Linked DNA regions of Macaca fascicularis. The protein of the gene in region 2 interacts with the protein of the main gene of each other region in a pairwise test. Links are inferred from orthologs where the notes say so. Each region holds a gene or a part of one and is shown on either strand. Other genes may lie near its edges.

Region 1 (5,045 bases), on a different chromosome or scaffold from region 2:
TGAGATTTGGTGGGGCCATATATTCAAATCATATCGCCTACTAAGCCCAAAGCTCTAAGTACTGTCTTTCTCTCTTACAATAGAGCTACAAGATTTTGCTTTGGTGATTAAGAGAACAATACAATCTTATGTAGGCAGAGCCCCATAATGTTTTAAAGTGACTTAAAATATTCCAATTCATATTAAAATAATAATAGCCATTATTTAATGAGCTAAACATGGTTAAAGCATTTCCTCAAAATTATCTCATTTGGTCTTCAATATGAAGTTTGGGGGGCTTATTATGAACTCTCATAGATGGCATTTGGATGTCTTCAGGTTTAGGAGGATGGGCTCTGTCCTGGGGACGAGGTTCAGAAAAACTTAGACGTTGCTGGCCTTAGCTTACAAGGTCAAGTTAGTAAAAAAAAAAAAAAAAAAAAAAAAAAATTTAACATGATTAGAACTGAGAAATGGCCTGCTCTAGGGGACTGCAAGTGATTGCTGCGGTTGTTCCTCTTGTTCCGTGTCTGAATGCCTCTCAAGTCAGGAAGAGAATTCTTTATTAAAAATGGCCGGAGGGCGCGGTGGCTTAAGCCTGTAATCCCAGCACTTTGGGAGGCCCAGGCGGGCGGATCAGGAGCTCAGAAGATCAAGACCATCCTAGCTAACACGGTGAAACCCCGTCTCTACTAAAAAAATATGAAAAATTAGCCGGGCGTGGTGGCGGGCGCCTGTAGTCCCAGCTGCTCGGGAGGCTGAGGCAGGAGAATGGCGTGAGCCCGGGAGGCGAAGGTTGCAGTGAGCCGAGATCGCGCCACTGCACTCAAAAAAAAAAATGGCCGGAGGTACCTGCATCCCACCTAGTCAGGGCTCTAGCTTCCCTCCTCTTTGTGTGCAATCCAAGTTTTAGACCCAAGGGTGGAGGACCTACCACTGTACAGTGCTGAGTAAGACAGGGTTCTCACCGAAGTCAGCGAAGTTCCCAGTCCTTTCTGGCGCGAGCTGCATTCCCAGACACTCCAGCTCTTGCCGAAAGGAGCTCCGTCTTTTGCGCTAGTGTTTGTCTACCCTCCCCTGCCCTAAAATAATGAATGCCCTCTACCTGAGGGAGAGACTTCAGTGGCGGTAATCTACTCGCGGCTGGCTGCATCCTTGAAAAAGCACATTTCCCTTCTACTATCTTCAAGATCTTGGTTAACCAGATTCACATTGTATTTGCAGGACGCTTTCTCAGGTGACTGCTCAGTGCTCTTTTTTACCGAAAGTAGGGCAAAGTCCCCCAAGGGTGCTAACCCTCCCCCACCCACATCAAGGAAGAAACAGTCCTCTACTCTTTTCTGGACATTCCGGTTCAGAGTCGAGGTAAGGGTTGCATGGCCCCGCCCCACCCGCCCCTCCGTTACCAAGCCTTCCCCCGCCCGCCTCGCAGTCTCAGGGCCTTAGAACCCAGGCGGGGCGAGGCCGGGAGAGGTGGGGCTGCTGGCTGGAGGCGGCGGCGGCGCGCAGCGGTACCTAGCGGCGCTGCCCGGCTGGCAGCCGGAGGACGTGGCACTGTCCGAGGATCCAGGGGGAGGGGATTCGGCCTTCTCCTCCCCGCGAGGAGGAGCCTCGGGACATCCTGCAGAGGCGGGAGGATCCTTGAGGGCACTGGTGCGCCTTTCAGGTGAGCTCTTAGCAGATAAAAGCGGCTGGCTGTGGTCCGCGCCAGTAGTGCTTTCTGCTCTGCACTCCCAGTGAGCCAGGTGCGCAACCGGAGTGGGGGCGAGGGGCGTGCTGGCCACCCCGCATGCGCAGAGCCGGGAGCCCGCTGACCGGACTACAGCTCCCAGAGGAGCCTTGTGGAAGCCGCAGACGTGGAGCCGCTGGCGCCATCTTGAAATCTGATCCTCAATCCCCGAGCCTTTGAGTCTGCGCGGCGGGCCGCTGCTGCTCCGGGAGCCCAGTCTGTTAAAAGGGTAGGACGTTGAGGACGCGGCGGCTGGCGGGAGAGACAGCTGGGGAGAGACATGGCAGGGTCGGAGCGCGGCCTGCGCCTCTGTCACTCAGCATCCTCTTAGACGTTTCCACGCCCGCCCCCTGCCCAAGGGGCGGGGCTGACGGCTGTGGTACCCGGAGCCGGCGCACGGGGTAGGGGTGCACCCCTGCAGAGTGAGGACCCCACTGGGCTGTGCCATGCTGACTGGAGACCACTGAGGCGGGAGACAGAGCGCGGCGAAGAGCCATTGAGTGGTCATCCAGTAGCCGCCGCCGCCGCCGCCTCAGGAAGCTTGGCACCCGCTAGGAGGGAAGATGAAGGAGATTTGCAGGATCTGTGCCCGAGAGCTGTGTGGAAACCAGCGGCGCTGGATCTTCCACACAGCGTCCAAGCTGAACCTCCAGGTTCTGCTTTCGCACGTCCTGGGCAAGGATGTCCCCCGCGATGGCAAAGCCGAGTTCGCTTGCAGCAAGTGTGCTTTCATGCTTGATCGAATCTATCGATTCGACACGGTTATTGCCCGGATCGAAGCTCTTTCTATTGAGCGCTTGCAAAAGCTGCTACTGGAGAAAGATCGCCTCAAGTTCTGCATTGCCAGTATGTATCGGAAGAATAACGATGACTCTGGCCCGGAGGTCAAGGCGGGGAATGGGACGGTTGACATGTCTGTCTTACCTGATGCGAGATACTCTGCACTGCTCCAGGAGGACTTCGCCTATTCAGGGTTTGAGTGCTGGGTGGAGAATGAGGATCAGATCCAGGAGCCACACAGTTGCCATGGTTCGGAAGGCCCTGGAAACCGACCCAGGAGATGCCGTGGTTGTGCAGCTTTGCGGGTTGCTGATTCTGACTATGAAGCCATTTGTAAGGTACCTCGAAAGGTGGCCAGAAGTATCTCCTGTGGCCCTTCTAGCAGGTGGTCGACCAGCATTTGCACTGAAGAACCAGCGTTGTCTGAGGTTGGGCCACCCGACTTAGCAAGCACAAAGGTACCCCCAGATGGAGAAAGCATGGAGGAAGAGACGCCGGGTTCCTCTGTGGAATCTTTGGATGCAAGCGTCCACGCTAGCCCTCCACAACAGAAAGATGAGGAGACTGAGAGAAGTGCAAAGGAACTTGGAAAGTGTGACTGTTGTTCAGATGATCAGGCTCCGCCGCATGGGTGTAATCACAAGCTGGAGTTAGCTCTTAGCATGATTAAAGGTCTTGATTATAAGCCCATCCAGAGCCCCCGAGGGAGCAGGCTTCCGATTCCAGTGAAATCCAGCCCACCTGGAGCCAAGCCTGGCCATAGCATGACAGATGGAGTTAGTTCCGGGTTCCTTAACAGGTCTTTGAAACCCCTTTACAAGACACCTGTGAGTTACCCCTTGGAGCTTTCAGACCTGCAGGAGCTGTGGGATGATCTCTGTGAAGATTATTTGCCGCTCCGGGTCCAGGTATACAAAACGGCTACACAGTGCCTTTCTGATTATAGCTAGCTGGCCTCTGGCTTCACATGATTTCGGTCTAGGTGGAGGTTAGTAATATTCTAGACTTGAGAAAATTAGTCATGAGCCCATTTTTGCTGCACCTTTTCTGTGTCTCATTTAGTAAACGTGATTCGTACTCAGATAATTTGCTTTTCACAGTCTTTGTAAAATCTGTTGGCCTTCCCATTATCAAAATTGTATACCTTTTAAAACAAAAAGGTAAAGATTCCCACTTCACTTTTATCCTGTAAAAAGAAGACATTTAATCTCATTTCTGGCACTAGAACTTTTCCTCTTATCTCCTTTTCTTTCTTTTTTTTTTTTTTTTTTTTTTAACAACTTTTAAAATTTGTTCTTGTTTTCAGATTTATAGACGTTTCCTCCCAATGGCTTTCTGTAAGGCAGTTAGTTCTCTAGTTAGTTCTTCCCAGAGCATTGAAGCTTTCATCCGCAAAATGCCTGTAAATGATTAGAGCATAAGGTAAAAGGTTTGGGGGAAACCTATTAATCCACCAGTAAAGTATTATAACATCTGGACAATATTTATTATAATGAATAGTTCATTTGAGGATTAGTGATGACTCATTCATAAAAGAGACAGGAATTCAAGTATTCAAGTACAGTATTGTCACTCAAAACGTTAAGGCATAAACTGTTCACAGCCAGAACTCTGCTGAGTTCTACTGGAAGATATTTGATATTAAGAAAGGATTAACCCATTATTGGATCAGAGGAGAGTTTCATTCATTATAGTCTTGAATTCTTAATGACTAGAGGATGGCAGTTGCTTAATTTGAACCATTCATGTCTGCCCAATTGATTCTATACCAACCTTTTAAATTCAGCTATGGTAGTTTGTTTCTATAGCAACAGTAAATGCTAGGTTCAGTTAACTTTGTGAAACATACTGGCATGTTCCACTTGATACAACTTATTTAGCGATACTGTCACAAAGGTAGATGTGATCTAGAAGGCATTTTTAGAAAGCCTGCTACTGGTCAACATCATTCCAGAAATTTAGAGCTTGATAAGTAACATTGTTGATGGTCACATGAAACTTTTGGAAAGTAGTTCTGTGGTATGTATACTTTCTTTCACCATAAGAACCTAAGCAGAAAACAGGAGAAAAGTTTTTAAATTTACACAAAATTATGAGTAGCAGCATAGATGAGAAACAGCAGAGATGAAAGTGTCATGAAAGGTAAAAAGTCAGTGCGTTTTCATTTGTATAAAATGTATGTACTTCTTTTCTTTTGCTTTTCCTTTCAGTGGAGCCTCAGCTGAATTTGGGCTTTACAGTATTTCTGGACCAGACATAGGTGTTACAAATTAAACATGGTGTTTTCTTATTAGGGTCTAAAATTAGTTGGGCCAGGATGAATGGGAAATAAACTCGTCTCCCCAACCCGCCACCAAGTATGGCCAATATTGTAGAACATTACATAAAGACTGAGAAAATAACAGCCAAAACAAGGTCTTTTTTCTCCATATTTAAATAAAATACTCTATTTTGGTGACCGGATTTTGGAGTTGAGAAGAATTTTAAAGATCATCTTCAGGCAGTCCCTCAATTTGGAGATATGGAAAGAAAGTTCATTCTTTAACTAACTTAGCCC
Region 2 (4,783 bases):
TCTGCTTTTGCCACTCCAACTCAATATTGTAGTGGCGGTCTTAGCCAGTGCAATAACACTAGAACAGAAAAGCCATACAGATTAGAAAGGAAGAAATAAAACTGTGTCTATTTGCAGTTTCACATAGAGATTTCAAATAGAATTAGTACCTATATATATTCATTAAATACTTCTCAATGTTGATAGTTATTAGTTAAGATTGTTGAGTTTATTAATATTTCACAAGAATAATAGAAGTCATAAGATATATTTTTAAAATAGTTTATAAATCAGAAAGTTAACAAATTCTTATGGCTTTTCTCTGAATTCTTTGTTTTGGTTACCTTTTCTTCTGAAAACTCTCTCATGACCTCTGCTGTCCATTTTTTGAACATAAATCATTTAATAAAATATTAATTGACATTTACATCTAGATGGTAAGAAATCCTCTACCCATCTGATTATTTGAGCCAGTTTTAGGAAACAATATATGCGAAGAAATGCTTTAAAATTGTTTTCTTATATAAATGTAATATATTTTCACTATTGATAACACACAAAAAATTGCAGTAACCACTCATCATATCACTGCTTAAAGATAACCACTGTTATCAAGTAGTATATATCCCTCTGGAATTGTTTCTGTAAAGTATAATTCTATGTTAAATTTATTATTATTATTACACAATTGGGATCATACTGTACATGCAATTTTGTATCTATTCTTGTCACTTTATATATGGAATATTTCCCATATCAAGATATAATGTTTAAATTGTTGCATAATATATCAGATATATAATAATTCATGTAATACTCTCTTATTTGGGAGCATTTAACTTTTTTTTTTGAGACAGTTTCACTCTTGCTGCCCAGGTTGGAGTGCAGTGGTGTGATCGTGGCTCACTGCAACCTCCACCTCCTGCGTTCAAGCAATTCTCCTGTCTCAGCCTCCTGAGTAGCCGGGATTACAGGCATCCGTCACCATGCCCAGCAAATTTTTTTAATTTTTAGTAGAGACAGAGTTTCACCATGTTGGCCAGGCTGGTCTCGAACTCCTGACCTCAGGTGATCCACCCATCTCAGCCTCCCAAAGTGCTGAAATTACAGGTATGAGCCACTGCACCTGGCCAGGGAGCATTTAAATTGATGCAATTATTTTCTTTTACAAGTAACCCTATAAAATGTAATTTCTTGAGTATCCCTAATTTTATGCTTACATCCCCAAAAGTACAATTTCTGAGTCATGGAAAAAGTTTTTCATGCTTATTGCTGAATTGAACTCTAAAAATTTTGTACTAACTTAACACCCCTACCAGAAGTATATGTTCATGACCACAGAAATGACTTTTTAAAACTAAGATGTGAAAATATCTTAGAAACAAACTCTAAATAAGGAGAAAAAAGTTGTATATAATTTTCTACTTATGAGGTGAATAATTTCATTTTTTCTTCAAAGGTGTCAGGAAAATAGAAGGACATTTTGGTAGAGTGATAAAAGGGCCAGATCTTCTAATTGCTTAATCTTAATGTTTCTGAATCTGTTTCCTCATCTATAGTATGAGGAGAATAATTTCCCACTTAATTAGCGAGGATGCAGTGAGATGATGCATGTGAACATGGTTTGACAACTATGTCATATAGATGGAAGATATAACTTTTATTAATCACTGTTTATATGTGGACAGATTTGATACTCATTATACTGTTTTTAAATGTCCATAACTTTAAATATTTTATATCAATCTTAATAATAATTTTCTCCATTTTCAACCTCATGTGATCAGAAAAGTCAATTTTCAATCAATTCTATTTGTTTTTTGAAAAAGTAAAATAATGATTATGCTACATAGAAAATTATAGTTCAGTTGCCAATTCCATTAACTTAGTTTGTCTCAGAAAAGGAAAAATTACCATATAAACAGAATTATCTATTAAGAATTAATATTTAATCTAAAAATGTCTAGTGCCTCTACAGAAAATTTGAGTACATTCTCAACTTCCTTAAACCAGTGCCTTTTTCAAATTTCTTTTCAAAGTTACACCTGTCAGTTTTCACTAAAAAATAGTTTGAAGATTATTTTGAATAATTATAACCAATGAAACACAAAGGCAAGAATAGAACTATTGCAGTGGGCCCTTGCTGAACCTGAGCTAGCACCTATAATGAGTCAGTCCTCACTGAAGGAGGAATGAGGAGGGAAGAAGGACTAGAAAGACAGAAAAGAGGCAATGATAACTTAAGAAAACACTGAATTTTTAAAAAGATAGTGGCTGGCAGAGTACCTGAGACTTGTACCCAGGAGGGCGTTAGCCCAGTCTGTCTATCACGATTGCCCCAGGAATTCTAGTCATTGTACTTGGGCAAGAGCTTCAATTTTTTAAGGCACTTGCATTTTATGAAACGTTAGTGTTTGCAGGTGTCTTGGCTAAATAATTTAGGGAATAAATTTTAGGAGGAAGTAGCGGCACAGAAGGGGAGAGAGAAACCAGGCAGGAAAGAAGAAAATAAGTCTTTCTGTTCCCATTACTTTACTTCCCATAGAATTATACAAGGTAAACACACACACACACACACACACACACACACACACACACACACACACACACACACACACACACACCTTGTAGGGTCATTGAGAACCATCTTTCTTCATTTTAAAACTAAGGAAACAGGTCTAGGTGACACAGATGAAGCAGTGGCAGAGCCAGGAAAATAATCTGACCCTTGTCCCTGTTCTTTCCACTGCACCATGGTAACTCCCTTTTTTGTGTCTTTTTTTTGTTTTGTTTTTAAACACTCTAAAACTGAGGATCATTTGTAGTCAAAGAGATCAATGCTATTCTCAAAACAAGTTCTGATCTCTCATAATTTTCTTGGTAACTCAGAATCAATGTTAAGTACGTTGAAATAAAAATGCAGTACTTTACACGGTAATTTTGTAGACTGTGCACCACGTTCCCATCCATTTTCTTACTTGATCCTTACAAAAACCCTTTGAGGCAAGGCAAGGCAAGTATTATTATCTTCATTTTTAAAGTGAGCAAATTAAAACCCAAAGAGTAAGGTCACTTAGGGTCAGGAAGGAGCCAGTACTCTATTCCTATATTTGAAATATAGGAGGGAATACACTTCCAAAGAGGCAATTCCCTCAAAAAGCACCAAGAGTAAAGGCTCTTTACTCTCTTGCCAAGGCATTCTCTATCCCCTGGAGACGCCTGCACTAGGTTAGTGAAGCATGGGTCTTGACACCCACAGAGGTTACTCCTAGTTTGCACCTAGTTGTCATCTTAAAAAGCGCAGTTTCTTACCCCTTCCCTTGGTCCTGATCCTTATTTTAGGCTTTTTGGGATTTGGCCTCCTGGGTCTCACTTCGAAGCTCCACCCTCGCCAAACAAGAAGTCGCGTCCTTGGTATCCAAGGTGACCGCGCAGCTTTACCCACGTTGCCCCTTTCGTGCTTTCCATTGGCCAGTTGGACTCCTATGTACCGCCCCTCCAATAGCCAATGGTCTTGAGGCAAAGGGCGCCCGCCTTTCCCAGGGAGTCTAACACATGCCCTTTTACCCGGACTCCCCTGCGCATTGCCTCCTGGGATATGTGGTTTCTAAGATGCCAGAGCTCTGCGATGTTCCACCCCTTTACAACTACCTATCCCGTCCGCCTTAGCGAAAGGGGCGGGCGTAGGCTAGGAGTCCGGGTCAGAGTTTAGAGCTTTCAAATTGCAACTTGCCTCTGGGGCTTGCGTGGCTGATGTTTAAATTGCCTAGTCAAGCGAACCGGCTCCCTCTTGCTTCAGCAAACCCTGACAGACGTCTCCTATTTGACTTGAGGCGGCATAGTGGCCAAGTCGATTGGCCGTGGCAAGTGACCCTCCCTGTAGCTGAAGTGTTCTAAGGACTGGAGAGAGGGGCGCGCCATGCTTGCCCCCTGCTCAGGTTGGGAGCTTGGCTGCCTCCGTCTCTGTCTCCGTCAGGTCCGATTGTGGGTTGGCACTGGGCGCTGGGCTTCCTGGGCTTGCCAAGCCAGGCCGTACGGCTCAGGTCGGGGCAAGCCCTGGCCCGGATCGGAGGCTGAGGTCCCTCCGCCTGGCCCGGCGCGCCGGACTCTAAAGGAGTGGACGCTGCAGGTGAGCCCGTTCGGTCGGCTGCGGGCGCGGCTCCCGTGCCACCTGGCCGTGAGGCCCTTGGACCCCCTCACCTACCCGGATGGCGACCGCGTGCTGGTCGCGGTGTGTGGCGTGGAGGGCAGCGCGCGGGGCCTGGACGGCCTGCAGGTGAAGTACGACGAGGCTCTGGAGGAGATGGCCATTTTGTCTGACACTATCGACCCCCAGGCGTTCGTGGAGGTGAACGCGCCCCTGAAGTTTGGCAAGTGAAATGAAGTGAAAACGGGTTTGGGTCCCAGGGCACGCACAGTGAACTTACTAAATTTGGTCGACTTGCACTTTTAATTGGTCCTGGCTTTCTAAACCTAATTTACAGTTGGCACCTTCGGAAATGCACCTTTTCCTCTGTTCTATTCTTGAGTATCCGAGTAGTATTTAAAAATTAGGTTGCCTAACTAAAAATTTGTTATAGAAATTTTATACATCGAATGGAAACATGATTTGGTATAATCCAGGTCAAATTATATTTCTGGAGCCGCTTGTGTTCTCCTTTATCCCGTTGTCATTAGCAAACTGGCTTATTTTTCAAGGTTGAAGTTTCTTGACAATTCATTGAATGGTATGGCAGTCCATCTACATTTCCCCTTACTCACAGCCTGGGGGTGTGTCCCAAAACAGCCCTGTCAATAGGATGTT
Region 3 (3,379 bases), on a different chromosome or scaffold from region 2:
AAGAAGGCAGTGCCTTCGCCCACAAGGTGCTCTACAGGGAAAGAGCGTGGTGGGGGGGATCTCTCTACCCACCAGGAGCTCCTGGCTCCAGGAAGACAGCCCCCACACCTGCTATGGAGACCCAGTGTCTCACCTCTTCCATGCCTCCTCCGTCTCCCAGAACTCATAGATGACAAAGGTGAAGCCATCCGAGAGCCTCACGGCAGTGATGCTGCAACAGGAGACAGGCAGGGAGGCTGGGGCTCAACAGTGGCCACCCTAGTCCTGTAGCCCACCCCTATACACAACCGCTGCCTTCAACCTTTCTGGTCCTCCAGCGAGACTCAACAGGGTGCCCCCACCACCTGGAACAAGGCCTGGTTTCTTATAGTGGCCAATAGCTATTTCTCAATGACATGTAGTTTTTTTGAGACAGGGTCTCACTCTGTTGCCCAGGCTGGAGTGCAGTGGCACAATCACTTCAGCCTCCCACGTAGCTGGGACTATAGGTGTGCACCACTTGGCCTGGCTAATTCAAAAAATGTCCTAGTAGAGCTGGGGTCTTGCTATGGTCCCCACGCTGGTCTTGAACGCCTGGGCTCAGGCAGTCCTCTCGCCTTGGCTTCCAAACTGCTGGGATTACAAACTTCAGCCACTGTGCCCAGCTGAAATGTCATGTTAAAATCTTCACCTTTATTTAAACAAAACCAGGTGGCTGCGTGTGATGGTTCACACCTGTAATCCCAGAACTTGGGAAGTCTTGAGGGGCCGAGGCAGGTGGGTTACTTGAGGCCAGAAATTCAAGACCAGCCTAGCCAAAATGGCAAAACCTGGTCTCTTAAAAAGTTGCCAGGCCTGGTGCCATAGGCCTGTAATCCCAGTTACGCAGGAGGCTGAGGCTTGAGACTCACTTGAACCTGGTGGGTAGAGGCTGCAGTGAGCTGAGCTTCCACCACTACACTCCTGCCTGGGCCACAAAGCAAGATTTGGTCTCAAAAACAAAAAATATATATATACATATAAACCCTATCTTTAAATTATCAAAGCATCTTCCTCCTAATTGTCATCTTATTTAATCCTTGCAACAACCCCACTGCACTGTACCTGACCGAAGGAGGCTGCGGGAGGGGGGCATTCACAGAGGAAGGGGCTGCAAGCAAGTCCCCCTTCACTCTTTGGGACCCAGAGGACAGCACTCACCTCATTTTAAAGGCGCAGATAGGCTATGCCGCTCCGGGCTTCTCTCTGCAAGTGCACTACAATGAGGAAGCCCCAAGTGACCATAAAAGGGCGGGGGGGCAAGAGCAGGGGATGAGGGGTAACAGTGCTCAGCCTGGAGGGAGGGGGACAGACACACCGCTGTGCAGCGTTAGGTACACTGTGCCTGGCAAGTGCAGTCTCGCCTGGCTCTCCAAGCTGGCCGTCTCCAGTTCAACAAACAGCACTGTCTTCTACTGAGGCTCCGAAACCAGAGCCTCTATATCCACCTTGCCTCCTCTCCACAGCCTATCGGGGTGGCCCTACTTCACTCTGGGGTCTCCCACTTCATGTAACAGAGAAAAGATCAAGTCTGGCCCCTGCTCCTATACAGTCTGTCCTGCTGGATGGGAGTGGGTCCTGCCCACCACCCTGGCTACTTACTCAAGCGTGGCCCCTGATGGCCACCCTGGGTCTCCGCAACAGCCGCACTCCTGCCCAGGCTGCTCCTCCCCTAGTGCTACAGGTCAGGCCTCAGTGCACAGGGGGCCCAGGAAGACCCCGTGCAGGACCTGGCCTGCCTCGTTCACAGCCATGCCCCCAGGCAACAGGGCGAATGAATGTGTGCCCTGGGGATGGAAGAAAGCCCTGGAAAGGGAGGGAGTTGGGCAGAGCCTTGGTGTAGAAATGAAGGGCAGGGGAAACACCTGGGCCTCATGCTCTTTAAGGGCTACTACCAGCAAGAACAAACGGCTGTTGTCTTCTGTGGACCCCTCCCCTGTGGCCATGGCCTAGCTTTACCAAGGAGCTACATAATCCTGGGGGGATGAACGGGAATTTGAGGGTGAGGCCCCTTGCCCCGCCCTAGACATCTCACCACAGACCCATAGGGAGGAGGGAGAGAATGGCCGCTACGTTTCCATCTCAGCACATCCGTGGGGAAGGGGAGAGGGGCGGCTACATTTTTTGGGCATTTCCCTTCAGCCTCACCGACTCGACTCTCCTTTCCTTTCTCGGTTGTTAACTGAGCACACACTACATTCTGGGCCTGGTGTTAAGCAGCAACTCCTGCAAGAGCAACAGCTAAGGCTGACTGAGCGCACGTGGCACACCAGGCCCGGCCAGAGCCGTTCACACTTGAGATTCACACACTTGATTGTATATGAATCGTGATCACCCCAACAAGGAGTCCTGGGGGTGGCCCCCCCCTTTTACAGATGAATGAGCTGAGGACAGGGAGATGAAGGCACCTGCCACGTTTGCATGACCTGAACCCAGTTCTTATTCACCCAGCTATGTGTCTCCCTGGGGTGCGATTTGTACTTAGGGGTAAGCCTAGTCCCGCGCTGTTCCTCCACTGCCAGGCAGAGCTCCCTGCCACCATCCCTCCCACTCACGCTTCAGCAGCTCACTCACTGGAAGCAGCTCCTCGCTCCGGCAGTCCCCCGCAGATACGGGCGCAGGGAGTCCAGAAACTCGCTGAGTTGCTCGGGGCACACGGCCATCTCCTGCCGGACCAGCTGCAGGTGCTGCCGGGCCACAGCAGGAGTCAGTGTGGGGCTCCATGCCAGAACTTCTCCCTAAAGACCCCATCCGGCGTCCATGACCTCCCTCCCTTGGTCTAAATAAACCTCCCCGACTTTTCATTGTATAATGAAAAGTATAAGAAAGGACTAGAACCTCAAGAGCCCAGTGCAGAGGTAGCCCCCACAAACGGGGAAAACGGACGAGTTGTTTACCCAGTCCCCACCCATGTCCACAGCTGCCTCCAGGGCCCAGAGACACAGCACATCCACTGACAAGAAAAACTTAGTTGATGGACTCAGCATTTTCACATGACTGTCCGGCTGACCACTTAGCTCTAGGCCAAACTTTTTTTGGATCAAAGTCCAGGAGCCTCTGGGCCAGGTATGGTGGCTCACACCTATAATCTCAGTACTTTGGGAGGCCGAGGTGGGCGGATCACAAGGTCAGGAGTTCGAGACCAGCCTGGCCAACATGGTGAAACCTTATCTCTACTAAAAATGCAAAAAATTAGTCGGGCATGGGGGCGGGCACCTGTAATCCCAGCTACTCAGGAGGCTGAGGCAGGAGAATCGCTTGAACCCGGGAGGTGGAGGTTGCAGTGAGCTGAGATTACACCACTGCACTCCAGCCTGGGCAATAGAACGAGACTCAGTCTCAAAAAAAAAAAAAAAAAAAA
Region 4 (5,056 bases), on a different chromosome or scaffold from region 2:
GAGATGTATGTTCAGCTTTTGTTCAATGCTCAGGGGACTTAACAAAAACTCATTTTCTGTAACTTCTAGTTATAATCGCTTTGGATTGTTCCACATTAGGTTTTTCTCAGTCTCAGGGGTCTATGTATCTACTGTCACAAATTTTGGAAGAAAACTTTTGGGATCTCAGCAGTCTTGGATCCCTAGTACCAAGAACTATCTAAATGTGGAATGTGTAATATAACCATTTTAGAGACAGGGGTTTCCCCTGGCATCTTCTGATTTGGCCCTTGGAGAAACTCTGTTTTATTGTATCAATACCTCCACATCTGAGGTATTTTCTGAGATACAAAGGGAAAAATACACAACGTCAGATTTTTGTTTTACATCTTCACTTCAACTTCTTGCCCGGTTTCTAGGCCTTTGAATCCTTCTTAGTTCTAGCAATGACACAGTAGTTATCCTTGGGGGTGGGAGATTTGGTGGTAGTCAAGGTGAAGAAATAGCTTCTGCAGTTGAAAGAAGCTGATGTTAAGAATAGGCTTTATACTTCATAGTGAGGTTGATCTTAGAAAAATGACTTCACATCTCTTGTCCTCAATGGCTTATTTATTTATTTTGTAAAATTAAGAGTACCCACCTCCCAGGTTGGAAGTAAAGATTAAAAGGTATCACTGCTCAATCCCCTAGCTCATAGGGTGAAGGCTCATGACTGATTTTAGAATCAAGGAAGCAAGGTATGAAGAGAGCCCACAGAGGCTCTGATCACTCAATGTTCTTTGGCTTTCATGAGTTCTTTTCTCAAAGTTCTTATTTGAGGTTCAGTAAGATTATTGCTCATTTCTTTTTGTTTTTTTCTGGCTTCTTGAGCTTGCCTTCTTGGTCGAGATAAGCCATGGTTTTCGGAGTCATCCTCATTTTCATGAGCTTCTCAGATACCTTGTTTGAAACATCACATCTATCCAAGTTACAGTTGTTCCCCAATGACAGGAACTGTTCTGTGCTTAACCAACTATATGTCAAGTGTCAGCAAGGTGCCTGACAAATGGGACATAGCTAGGGGATGTGTGTTGAGTGAATGGATTCATCTAAGTCTTGTTGCTCCTCAAAGTGAGTCTGAAAGGCAACCAACTAAAGAAAGAAGAAATGTAGGACTTCTTGATAACCCAAGGCCGTAACATCCACCAATACCAAGACTTAGTTTCTTCCCTGGATAGGGAAGGCTGGTTGAGTCTTAACCCAAGTGAGAACCATTGCTATTACAAGGGTTAGTCCTCCTGCTACACCACTGACCAACAGGAAAGTTTGTGTCTCCAGAGTGGACACATCCATAAAGAGGCCAAACCCAGTCAAGGTCTAAGCATCTGATGGCTAAAATAACTTTGCTTCTTTGAAAAATAATAAAAACCTTCTGACCTCCCACCAGCAGCCAACCTGATTTCAAAGAGCCAAGAGGCATCTCAGATTCGTCAACATTCCTTTAATGAGCTGAGAAACTTTTCATGGTAAACTCAGCAGCTGAGTAACAGGATGATGGCACCACAACAGGTAGATAATCAAGGCAGGAGGTCAAAGCATTGGAGCCAACACCCACCCAGGACGGGGTATAAAAGGGCTGGGAGGAGAGGAGACCTCAGTCTCAGTGGCTCGGCGTTCCCAGCTGATCTGAAGCTCCTGTGCAGTCTCAGCCCTACACCATGACCTCCTCCTACAGCAGCTCCTCATGCCCTCTGGTTTGCACCGTGGCTCCTGGAGCAAGAAATGTCTCTGTCTCTTCCATCGACGTTGGGTGCCAGCCCGGGGCAGAGGCCAACGTTGCCCCCATGTGCCTTTTGGCCAACGTGGCACATGCCAACCGAGTCCGCGTGGGGTCGACTCCCCTGGGCCGCCCCAGCCTCTGCCTGCCCCCAACCTGCCACAATGCTTGTCCCTTGCCAGGGACCTGTCACATTCCTGGCAACATTGGAATCTGTGGGGCCTATGGTGAAAACACCCTGAATGGCCATGAGAAGGAGACCATGCAGTTCCTGAACGACCGCCTGGCCAACTACCTGGAGAAGGTGCGCCAGCTGGAGCGGGAGAATGCGGAGCTGGAGGCCACACTCCTCGAGAGGAGCAAGTGCCACGAGTCCACTGTGTGCCCGGACTACCAGTCCTACTTCCGCACCATTGAGGAGCTCCAGCAGAAGGTGAGGTGTGGGATCGCTTGGGCATGCTGGGTCTGAGAAGGCAGAAGCCTTCGCAGGAGGAATCCACATAAGGTCCAGAGAGCTTTGGGTTCTTGGTTTCTCTTGGACATGAGCGTAGACACCACACGTGGAGTGAGAGCTTAGAGTATGATGCTTTGTATGTGAACCGTCTTTCCGTTTTCCTCAGATCCTGTGCAGCAAGGCCGAGAATGCCAGGCTGATTGTACAAATTGACAATGCTAAGCTGGCTGCCGATGACTTTAGGATCAAGTAAGTCAGGTGGAGGAGGGCCAGGGTGACTCCCTCCCCACCCTCCATCCCAGTGCTCAAATACTTGTTGAGTGAGTGAATGTTTGTCCTGTCTTCCTTGCTAGATTCTCCACAGTAAAATTTTCATTACAATCAAAGCTGATGAAAGATGGAAGGGAAAACTCCTCATTAATCCAAGCATATATGTTTGTCCTCCTTCATTTATTTCCCTAAAATGGAGGATAAGGGAGCCTGAGTTCATTCACCAGGAGCAAAATGAGGGGATTTCAAGGATGAACTGAGCAAGACAGCCATTGGGTTTCATATATAAGTCAGAGAAGTCGTTTACAGATGAGTCTTTGTTCAGATTTAATTATGGAGCCCTAAGGTACCAGGCATAAGGTACCTAGGCAAAAATGAGAGAGGGGAAGACAGCTGAAAAGTAAGGCATAAGGAGCCGCAGATCACGATCAGGCACCTGGCTATTGCTTATCTTTGGTAACTGACAGTCCCCGCAATGGCACGAGTGTTGGTCCCAAGATGCATGATCTTAGGCAAGTCAGTTCATCTTCCTGAACTGCAGTTGCCACAGAATACAATGGCAAAAATGTATATTGTGCAATGTAGTGTTGTGATTGCTTCATTAGACCATGAGCTCTTTGAGAAGGGGGGCTGTGTCTAATTCACCTTCGAGGCCAGAGGGCTAAACAGTGAACAAATGAGGATCCAAGGTGGTGTGGGAGGTAGGAAGAAGGCAGGGCAGCCGAGAGGGGCTCTTGGGGCATTCTTGTTGACCCTGTACCTCCCGTGACGGAAGGCTGGAGAGTGAGCGCTCCCTACGCCAGCTGGTAGAGGCGGACCAGTGTGGGACGCAGAAGCTCCTGGATGACGCGACCCTGGCCAAGGCTGACCTGGAGGCCCAGCAGGAGTCCCTGAAGGAGGAGCAGCTGTCCCTCAAGAGCAACCATGAGCAGGTGTGGCCCTGGCTGCTCAGACTCCCGGGGAGGGTGCTGGGCAGACAGGGGAGCTCCCTGGCCCCGGGGCTCTCAGAGCATTGTCTGGGCTCAGCTGGCATCAGGATGCAGGGCTGAGGTGAGTCTGAGGGTGCAGTGGTCCTCTGTGCAGACTTGCCTTGGGCACGAGGAAGGTGTCCAGGTGGGCTCTCCCCACTGCACTCTCAGCAAGACTTTCCCATTTGCTTGTGTGTGGGACTCCCCTCCCACTGCTTGCAGGGTCAGGGTACTGGTGCTGTCTGCTCCATCAAAGGTCCTCTCTTCACACAGGCTGTCTGTCCCTTCCTCCTTTCTGCAGGAAGTAAAGATTCTGAGGAGTCAGCTGGGGGAGAAGCTCCGGATCGAGCTGGACATTGAGCCCACCATTGACCTGAACAGGGTGCTGGGGGAGATGCGGGCTCAGTACGAGGCCATGGTGGAGACCAACCGCCAGGATGTAGAACAGTGGTTCCAAGCCCAGGTGAACGGAGGAGGTACAGAAGCAGGGGGTACCTGGCCTCCATCTGGGCAGGGAGGTGACTATGTCTCTCCGTGCTCTAGTCTGAAGGCATCAGCCTGCAGGCCATGTCCTGCTCCGAGGAGCTGCAGTGCTGCCAGTCGGAGATCCTGGAGCTGAGATGCACAGTGAATGCCCTGGAGGTGGAGCGCCAAGCCCAGCACACCTTGGTATGTGTCCTTCACCCTCACTGCACTGCAAATGCCCTGTGCCATGGCCTAGTAGCCTTTTATTTTGGAGGTCTCACCGCCCAGGTTTCTCCCACCTGTTATCACCATCAAAATCTGGGGCATGTAGCAGTTTCCCTGGGGGCCTTGCACATTTTATCCCCTTATTTCCCACTACAGAAGGACTGTCTGCAGAACTCCCTGTGTGAAGCTGAGGACCGCTTCGGCACGGAGCTGGCCCAGATGCAGAGCCTCATCAGCAACGTGGAGGAGCAGCTGTCCGAGATCCGGGCTGACCTGGAGCGGCAGAACCAGGAGTACCAGGTGCTGCTGGACGTGAAGGCTCGGCTGGAGAATGAGATTGCCACGTATCGGAACCTTCTGGAGAGCGAGGACTGCAAGTACGTGTGATCTGGGCAGTTCCTGGCCAAATCATTTACCCAATTCTCATGAGGTGTTCAGGGCAGCAGAAGGGCTGTCTCTACATAGAATGAGGCTGTCTGTGCACTCCTTTTCAGTGAGTCATTGCTCTGTCCTGCACACTCCATGTGGTTGACAGAGTGAAGGGAAATGTCCATCCACTGTTATTTTGCAGTAGGGACCCCTTCCTTATGCCCCCACATGGCACTGAGACCCCATTCATTCCTTGCCTCTCACTTCCCTCACCTTGTTCTCTCTGCAGACTCCCCTGCAATCCATGCTCCACGCCTCCCTCCTGTGTGACCGCCCCCTGTGCTCCTCGCTCAAGCTGTGGCCCCTACACCACCTGTGGAGCCAGCACCACTGGAAGCCGATTCTGAATTCCTGTGGACCCGCAGGGGCTGGCTAAGGCGAGGGATACCCAAAGAGAGATGCTTGTTATACCTCTAGAACATTTGGCTTCTAACTTCCTGTATGTATAGGCCTGTCCAAAGGCTAGGAGATACCAGGGATGGTGGAAACTTGATGAAAATCCTTCCTTTC

What was found.
Region 1: the proteins of CCDC146 (region 2) and PDE4DIPP2 interact in binary tests that used the Homo sapiens proteins (3 or more experiments, as listed by UniProt). The two-hybrid records come from large-scale screens. The link is inferred for Macaca fascicularis from reciprocal best matches to the Homo sapiens genes CCDC146 and PDE4DIP.
Region 3: the proteins of CCDC146 (region 2) and NECAB2 interact in binary tests that used the Homo sapiens proteins (3 or more experiments, as listed by UniProt). The two-hybrid records come from large-scale screens. The link is inferred for Macaca fascicularis from reciprocal best matches to the Homo sapiens genes CCDC146 and NECAB2.
Region 4: the proteins of CCDC146 (region 2) and keratin, type I cuticular Ha8 interact in binary tests that used the Homo sapiens proteins (3 or more experiments, as listed by UniProt). The link is inferred for Macaca fascicularis from reciprocal best matches to the Homo sapiens genes CCDC146 and KRT38.

Annotation. Positions count from the first base shown.
Region 1 is NC_088375.1:114,058,399-114,063,443, reverse strand, and holds the start of PDE4DIPP2 (myomegalin), read left to right. Parts: upstream 1-1,886; 5' UTR 1,887-2,271; coding exon 2,272-3,396; intron 3,397-5,045. UniProt on the Homo sapiens protein: Functions as an anchor sequestering components of the cAMP-dependent pathway to Golgi and/or centrosomes.
Region 2 is NC_088377.1:144,366,534-144,371,316, forward strand, and holds the start of CCDC146 (coiled-coil domain-containing protein 146), read right to left. Parts: upstream 3,377-4,783; 5' UTR 3,292-3,376; intron 1-3,291. Other genes in the region: protein FAM185A, read left to right, coding at 3,899-4,349. UniProt on the Homo sapiens protein: Essential for sperm flagellum biogenesis and male fertility.
Region 3 is NC_088394.1:79,872,885-79,876,263, reverse strand, and holds part of NECAB2 (N-terminal EF-hand calcium-binding protein 2), read right to left. Parts: intron 2,706-3,379; coding exon 2,593-2,705; intron 212-2,592; coding exon 134-211; intron 1-133. UniProt on the Homo sapiens protein: May act as a signaling scaffold protein that senses intracellular calcium.
Region 4 is NC_088390.1:62,486,017-62,491,072, reverse strand, and holds the start of keratin, type I cuticular Ha8, read left to right. Parts: upstream 1-1,614; 5' UTR 1,615-1,676; coding exon 1,677-2,168; intron 2,169-2,355; coding exon 2,356-2,438; intron 2,439-3,234; coding exon 3,235-3,391; intron 3,392-3,728; coding exon 3,729-3,890; intron 3,891-3,970; coding exon 3,971-4,096; intron 4,097-4,273; coding exon 4,274-4,494; intron 4,495-4,775; coding exon 4,776-4,893; 3' UTR 4,894-5,056.